Linked DNA regions of Caenorhabditis elegans. The protein of the gene in region 1 interacts with the protein of each later gene in a pairwise test. Each region holds a gene or a part of one and is shown on either strand. Other genes may lie near its edges.

Region 1 (4,261 bases):
GGTGTGATTGTCTTTATCGCCTTCAAAAATTTGTTGAAGAATTTGTTTTCCAGACTTGGTAAATGAGCAGCTGACGAAGGCTGATGAGGGTAGAAACGAGACAAGTATCAAATAGACGAGATTCATTGTTTTCATGGGAAAACTTTCACAAATGATAATCGAAAATAAATTGTTTGATAATTAATGATTGCGTTTTCACAAATGACGGTATTTGCGTGAGCTGCACGTATTCCTGGAAAATAATTTTCAGAAAGAAAAGAACAATAAATTTTTTTTAACTAGCCACAAACACCGTTGTTTGAGAGATTAAAAATTCAATTACCAAATAGGTTATTCACGAATGCGCTACTAAAATTAACTCCGTAACGAGAAATTGCACATGAGGTTATAGGTACGGCGCTGGGAGGTCAAATAAAAAGGCGGGTGTGAGGCGCCTCTGTCAAGCCTTTACCGGATTAAATCTCTAAATGGGCAGTTTTTTTTTCCTTTCATTGTGCAAAAAAAGAAGCTTTTTGTAATTTCTTCATTCTCTTAATGACGAAAAAGAATAAGAATTAAACCACAAAAAGAATATCAATAAAAATTGTAATAAGCAAAGAGATATTTTAAATTTTGAGAATAATCTGATATCAATTATGATCACTGGATCGAAATCATTCCTTCGCTGTAGTCGTTGCAGCAAGTTTCCGTTGAGAAGCACCAGGTGATATCATATTTGTTTCTAAAGTGTCGGTAGCATGCCGTTCATCGAAGAGCTCCAAAACTCTCATAAATCTGTTTTCCATCGAATGCTGAAATTTGTAAACTTTAGACACTTGGTTTCTTACAAGGGAATCTTCACAGCTTACATGAACGAGAACTAAAACCATTGAAATCAGTGATAAATCGATAAAGTGTAATACACAAATAATAGTTCCAGAGATATGACCTGACGGAACAAAATCTCCAAATCCAATAGTTGAAAATGTACTGAAAGAAAAGTACAAGGCATCATAGAATACAAACTCCTCATAGACAGCAATTGCAAGTGCTCCGAAGCCCCAAAATGTGACAAGAAGAATAAAAGCTTTCAGTACTGTCATCTTATACTTTGCCGACTTTTTGCCACTGAAAACTAAATAATGAACTCAAATAAAGATTTTATATGGAAAGTTGAGAAGAGGTTATTTATGTTTAAATGTTAAATTACCATTTTCGAACGCAAATTGCAAAAATTTTGAGTGTCAAATTGCATATTTTCAACGTTATTTTTCCATTGTTGCGAAGTACGTAGAGTGTTAGAGCAATTCCTATAATACCATAAGCTACAGTAACCAATTTACCGGCAATTGTGTGACAGACAAGTTCGCCGTACCCTGAAATAGAAAATAGAATGATTAGACGACACCTCGGGAGAAAATTTTAAAAATATTTTTCAAAATGTTCGAAATCAGTTTTGATACTATTTTACTTGTTAATCCCGAGTCATACCTATTGTCGTAATACAAGTGATTACATAAGCCAGCCCATCCAGAAACTCTTCTATATGCTTTGGAGGGTTTGAAGCGTAGAGTAGGTCAAAAATTTCTTTTATACAATTGTTGTTCAACTCATTATCTGCCTGAAATAGATGAAAATTGTATCGAGGCGTTTTCCGGGTATGCTCAATTGAAAGAGATGCAGAAATACTTTCACAAACCTTTTTCAATTTTCCACACTTGCTACCTTTCATTGAATTGTAGATGTGTATTGATTTCTGACGAATATTTCTTTTGAACTCATTAATCTGAAAATATTATCAATGAATATATATCTGCAACAGAAACAAAAGCTTTACAAACATTCATATCAGATCTCGATTCAATCTGCCAAAACAAGAGAGCTCCACCAATTATATATGCAACAAGAACCACAAATGCAATTATTGTATTAAATTCTGAAATTTGAAACATTACTTTAAGCAGAATATAAACCAAATCCTCACTTCGAATCTTTCTCAAAATTGTTCGTAATTTCGTTGGCTTCGGTCTTTCCGCTCTAGACTTTCGTTCAACAAATTTTAAAATAGATTGCTTTCTGACAAGATGTTGAGTTTCTGGTGAAGATTTTTCCATTTGCCTCTTTATAAATTTATTAATAAGTCGATCCGTGTGAGTTTGCATTCCATCGCTGAAAGACTATTGCAGTTTGGATTGACAGTGGTGAAGCAGTGGGTATTGTTTGAGAAGATTTGACAGCTATTCTGTCGTCTTTATATTTTCCTGGTGTAGATAATACAGAAACTCGACATTTTGCTTCAGCTTTTTCTCGCACATTGTCGCACATCTTTGCGGGTTACCCCTAGTTTCGAATTTTCCGCGCATTTCTTCGCATGCTATCGTAGATCGTCGCAGATTTTCGCGATTTCCCAGCTTTCAATCGCACGGAGCGAAATGTCGAGCATGTGGGTTACAAACTAATTTTCTTCTGTGGATTGTAGTTATACTCACCTATTAGAAGTGTGATGGTTAGAGCTGTGTGATTTTTGATTTGAAGGTATTGAATCTGAACTGAAAAATGTAGTTTTTTTTAGATGAAAACAATGATTCTGCAAACCTCGATTGTCTTCTATTTGATGCTACCATTGGGACGATATTGACTCCAAAAATTAGAACTGACTTTTAAAAAATCGATTTTTAATAGTTTTGGCCATCTCAGAAAATATCACGTTTCTTGGTTATGGTGGTATTTAATAATTTTATAATTTTTAAAACTGTACGTAAACAATTTTTTCAAGAAACTTGGCGAGCTCAATGAGTTTGAAATTTTTTAAACAAATTTGGATATTTATTTTTGTATCTATTTGAGTGTATACGACAAATCTCATCTTGTGTTAAACAGTAACACATTGAAACAATAAAATATTTATACTCGAGATCGGTATTCAAAACGCCTCGGATCAAGTTAACATAATTCTTCAAATTGAGGCTCTGGAAGGGAAAGAAACTACGAAAACAAACAGTCTATGGTCATAGAAAGACCAAAGAAATTAACTACAGATGTTCATAAAAACATCTGCACTGGCATTGTAAGAGAAGAAAGGTTCATTAGGGTAAACTCGTTTGTACTTTATTGAATTTCCGATTGTCAAGAGAAGAATCCTTCTGGTGCTCCGCCCTTCTTCGACAGCATAACCGATTTGACAGCCTTCTCAAAGTCATCCGTTCCGACACATTTTCGTTGAGCACGAAGAGCCAGCATACCAGCTTCCGTGCAAACCGCCTTGATTTCAGCTCCACTAATGCTCTTCTCCTTTCCCAATACATTCTCATAGGTGACAGCTTTCTGAATCGTCATTCCAGAGGTGTGGATCTAAAAATAAAAATTATTTAAGAAATGTTGAATTGACTAACCGTGAAAATCTTTTGTCTAGTCTTCTCATCTGGTTTTGGTAACTCAATCTTTCTATCAATTCGTCCAGGACGGATAAGAGCGGGATCCAGCGAGTCGATTCTGTTCGTTGCCATGATAATTTTGACATCTCCACGGCTTTCAAACCCGTCCAATTGATTTAAGAGCTCAAGAAGAGTTCGTTGAACTTCTTGTTCTCCACGTGAAGAAGTATCAAATCTTTTCGTACCAACTGCATCAATTTCATCAATGAATACAATCGATGGAGCCTGTTCCTTTGCCATTTGGAAGATTTGACGAACAAGACGAGCACCTTCCCCACTTTGTTTCTGAACAAGATCGGATCCAGTTGCACGGATGAATGTTGCAGATGTTGAGTTTGCAACTGCTTTCGCCAAAAGCGTCTTTCCAGTTCCAGGTTCACCGTAAAGAATAACTCCTTTCGGAGCAGTGATTCCCATTTCTTCATAGTACTCTGGATGAGTAAGAGGAAGTTCCACAGACTCTTTCAGCTCTTGAATTTGACTCTCACATCCTCCAATGTCATCGAATGTCTCTTTTGGTGTCTTCTCAACTTTATGTCCCATCGCATTGCTGTCAATCTTGTCATCCAAAACTCCAACGATTGCACTTGGAACTGTTTTGAACATTCCACCAGCCTTCACCATGACGAGGGCATTCAGACGAAGCAAGTCCTTGTCGACGATCGAGAGAATTGGTACGTACCATTCACGTCTCGAACCTTCAACGACCACAACGGCATGCTTCTCATCATCGAAAAGCTCGTGGACACGAGCCAATGTGGTTGGAGTTCCTCGGAGACTTTGAACTAATTGCTGTTCACGACGTTTTTGGACAGCAAGAGGGCGACCATGACGGCTTGTTTGACGAG
Region 2 (3,910 bases), on another chromosome or scaffold:
CTGACCAGTTTTTTTTTGTTCTATTCTCTATATCTAGAAACATTAAGCATTAATTCAACATATCATGAACCATCAAGATTTGACATAATTTTGATAATTTTCCATCAACTCAGTCGCCGACAAACAAGTTAGAGGCTCCCAACTCTGCACCTTGTGAGATGAGTCATGCAACAACTGGTCCATATCTGATTTAGTGTAACGACCACAATGCCACGATGACTAGGCTTGATTCTGCATTTGTTATTTATGGAATTCAAGACATTTTGAGATTTTTGCATTTGGTGTTCTAGCATTTATCTGACTAATTAAAATCAGAAAATGTTTTCACCTCGTTGTTTTTCAGAATTTGACTTTCCACATTTTCCAGCACCGCTTTTAAATATAAAAAAAAATAGTTTTTATTTATTTGATTGGGTCTCCTCATTTATTAGAAAAAATGTCGAAATTCTTGTTTGCGTCTTCTCAAATACATACAATAGTATTCTCAATGTTATCTCCTAATTTCGAAATCGATGGTTTCTCAATTACGAAATATTAGGAATTTTCCCACTTTCCGCGACACTATTATTTGCCTTTTTTAACCGCAATTCGATTACATTATTAGTGGTAAACAATCTTTTCTCTGAATTTCCAACGTTTTTTTTGTTTTACAAAAGAAACTATATAATAGTTGCTGTCCTCACATGATGATCAATGTTTTTTATCATTATCAATCAGAAAAGTCCCAGCTTTTCTTGACTTTTCCTTCAGAAATTATCATATCACAATTTGTTTGTTTTCTTTTTCTCTCTAACACTCTTACTCTATTCACTCAACAGTTCAATGCCGGAAATTCAAAATAACCAAATCGTTTTGACATAAACTTCAGTTCAAAGTTGACCTATCGCAAAAACAGGTCGAAAACAAAAAAAAATGGGGAACGGACCGCCAATGTTTTGAAACGGAAGGGGGGTGCGCACGCGGTCGCGTCGCGTGCCCGGTGTTTCAACGTAACTCTTGCACTTATTTACGCAGTGTGTCTCACTTGTGTGTGTGTGTGCCGTTCGTTTTTTCTCTCCCTTCCCTCCTCCCTCGCCGCATTGGAATTGCGACGGCGTCAATGCGGTCTTGCCGCTTTTCGAGACATTTTTGCTGCTGTGATGCCATGTTTTCACCATGATGTAATGCAATTTAATCCTCATGGCAAGAATGAAAAGTAGTTCAAAACGTTGCCTTTCTCGTTTTGGCAGCAGCTCTTTCTCATTTGATCCCCTCGTCGTATAAGCTAATACGCTTTTTGTTTTCAGCTGCTATATTCAGCCAACACAAAAGGCAAGAGCCTTTCCATTGACGTAAACGAGGCTTGTTTGCAACAACATCATGCATTCTAATTTCGTACATGAACTTTTCGAAAGTGCATTGAGATGAGAGTAATGATGAGAGCAAAGACATTTTCTTATAACTTCCCCTATTATTTATATGTATAGCCACTCTCATTCTTAGAAATGCTAGTGCACTTCTTTTCGTGCCCCAACAATTTATATTTTCATCCTAGAAATATAAATTCAAAATTTTGATTCTTCCTGATATTTCTTTATCTCTTTTTTTCTCTGTACTAAAAATAATAATTTTAAGGTGAAAAGATGGAGAGAGACTTCGACCTTGGCATGGGCAGACCTGGCGGGCTCGGAGGACTTGGTGGTGAACCGATCATGCAACAAATGCCACAGCCAGCGCCTCATCATCCATCCCGTAGTAGTAACGACCACAATGTGAAGAACCTCATGAAGCAGGCCGAGGAGAACTCCGGATATCTCACATTGCAAGGTAATTTGGCTAAATAAATAATCTTGAAACGGTAACAATTGATTTTTAGGTAACCGTCGTAAAGCTGACTTGAAGGAGCTTCAGTTCGTGGAAGATATTGGTCATGGAAGCTGCGGTACGGTCACAAAGTGCAGATACAAGAGTGTGATCATGGCTGTGAAGACGATGCCTCGGACGTCAAACAGTTATGAAATGTCCCGCATTTTGATGGATCTTGACGTCATCTGTCTCTCTTTCGACTGTCCGTACATTGTACGTTGCTTCGGATACTTCATCACCAACGTAAGAATTTTTATGAATTCTTTGACTTTTCCAATTATCATTTTTTTCAGTTCGACGTCCGTGTCTGCATGGAGTGCATGGCTACTTGCCTTGACCGTCTGCTTATCCGCATCAAGCAGCCAATTCCAGAGAGAATTATTGGAAAGTTGAGTGTGAGCATCATTAAAGCTCTGCACTACTTGAAAACCAAGCACGTAAGTTTATAAATCAGATGAACCATTTGGACAATATATAATCCGATTTTTTTAGCAAATCATGCACCGTGATGTGAAGCCATCAAACATTCTCCTCGACTGGAGTGGCGTCATCAAGCTTTGCGATTTCGGTATTGCTGGCAGACTGATCGAGTCTCGTGCTCATTCGAAGCAAGCCGGATGCCCTCTGTACATGGGTCCTGAGCGCCTCGACCCCAACAACTTTGACTCGTATGACATTCGCAGTGACGTGTGGTCTTTTGGTGTTACTTTGGTCGAGCTGGCAACCGGACAGTACCCATACGCCGGAACCGAATTCGACATGATGTCCAAGATTCTCAATGACGAGCCACCGCGCCTGGATCCGGTATGTGCTCTTCGTAAAAAATTCATCTAGAAAAAGCTTTTAAGAGCTACCAGTAGACATAATATATGCTTTATGGCGGCTAGAAACAGTACACAACTAGTATTTATGTATTTTACAATTTTACAGGCCAAATTCTCTCCGGACTTCTGTCAACTCGTCGAGAGCTGCCTGCAGCGTGATCCAACGATGCGTCCCAATTACGATATGCTCCTCCAGCATCCGTTTGTCGTGCATCACGAGAAAATTGAAACCGACGTCGAGGAGTGGTTTGCCGATGTGATGGGCGAGTGCGGATAATTGTCGAATTACAAACGTATTGTTATTTCCCAAATCATTTGTAAAAACTATCAATCCCATTCACTATCTCTTTCATAACATTTCCTGGTCTAGCATTCATGGTGCAAAGTTTTTCAATTTTGCTTTTTTACCTTATTTACCCTATTTACCACTTTTACCCTATTTTCACTTGTTCTCGTTCCCGTTGTCTCTATCAAAAATTCCCAACCTCTCTCACCGAATCCCTGTCTACCAAACTTGAATGTTCCGGATGTATAGTATCATTGTAGGCCTAATTGATTGTATATTTTGATTATGATATGTCTCAAAGTTAAGCCATCCACAGCTAGTCTTCTCGTCAGAGATTACTGTGGACATTAAAATTGTGATTCAAATTGTTCAACGGATATTGTTGTAATCTTATATATTTAAATACAGTCTATGGACCGTTCGTTTTTTTACAAGTTTTGAACGAAGCGTTACAGAAAGAAGTAATCAAATTCCAGATCTGTAGAAACTAGCGAGTTAACAGGTAATCGGAACTATGGTGTCTTGAACAATATTTGAAAGTATTCGAAATAGTGTACATATTTTGTGAAACTAAATACTATCAAACGATATCCTACTCAACTCTGAAATGTTCATACAGTGTATTAACACCTGCGCGACAACGCTTCACCTCTCTCATTTAAATGAATCCAAATGATTAGTCGCTGGAGATTATTAGGATATGCTACTAACGGAGCTTTTAAATAATGGCGGGTTCTCCCTACCCGCGTCACCATAGAAACCGAGCGGACTCGTGCCGGCTGGTGTTCTCCCTTCGTCCGCCTTCCGCGACTCAACTCATTTCCGTGTCTCCTCTAATATTTTCCAACGACCACATCTATATCTATTGCTTATCTCCAATAAATGTCGTTGGCAATTAAAGGTAGGTATTTTTATAGGTATTGTTTATTTGGTAGTTTAAGCAATTTCAGGAAAA

What was found. Proteins that work in one complex are often made in the same cells at the same time.
Region 2: the proteins of twk-37 (region 1) and mek-1 interact in a two-hybrid assay, tested with the Caenorhabditis elegans proteins (one large-scale study listed by BioGRID).

What each region holds. Positions count from the first base shown.
Region 1 is NC_003279.8:6,268,908-6,273,168, forward strand, and holds twk-37 (Potassium channel domain-containing protein), read right to left. Parts: upstream 2,627-4,261; 5' UTR 2,604-2,626; coding exon 2,575-2,603; intron 2,529-2,574; coding exon 2,469-2,528; intron 2,149-2,468; coding exon 1,964-2,148; intron 1,916-1,963; coding exon 1,821-1,915; intron 1,766-1,820; coding exon 1,679-1,765; intron 1,601-1,678; coding exon 1,471-1,600; intron 1,356-1,470; coding exon 1,190-1,355; intron 1,108-1,189; coding exon 849-1,107; intron 792-848; coding exon 654-791; 3' UTR 513-653; downstream 1-512. Other genes in the region: oac-9 (Nose resistant-to-fluoxetine protein N-terminal domain-containing protein), read right to left, coding at 1-126; C10G11.8 (AAA+ ATPase domain-containing protein), read right to left, coding at 3,106-3,330, 3,372-4,261.
Region 2 is NC_003284.9:7,477,634-7,481,543, forward strand, and holds mek-1 (Dual specificity mitogen-activated protein kinase kinase mek-1), read left to right. Parts: upstream 1-1,614; 5' UTR 1,615-1,622; coding exon 1,623-1,806; intron 1,807-1,855; coding exon 1,856-2,088; intron 2,089-2,138; coding exon 2,139-2,282; intron 2,283-2,337; coding exon 2,338-2,649; exon of another isoform or gene 2,650-2,775; coding exon 2,776-2,946; 3' UTR 2,947-3,372; downstream 3,373-3,910. Other genes in the region: F48E3.9 (Trichohyalin), read left to right, coding at 3,838-3,856, 3,906-3,910. UniProt on the Caenorhabditis elegans protein: Dual specificity protein kinase which may phosphorylate kgb-1 and thereby is an essential component of the JNK pathway composed of mlk-1, mek-1 and kgb-1. May also have a synergistic role with sek-1 in phosphorylating pmk-1.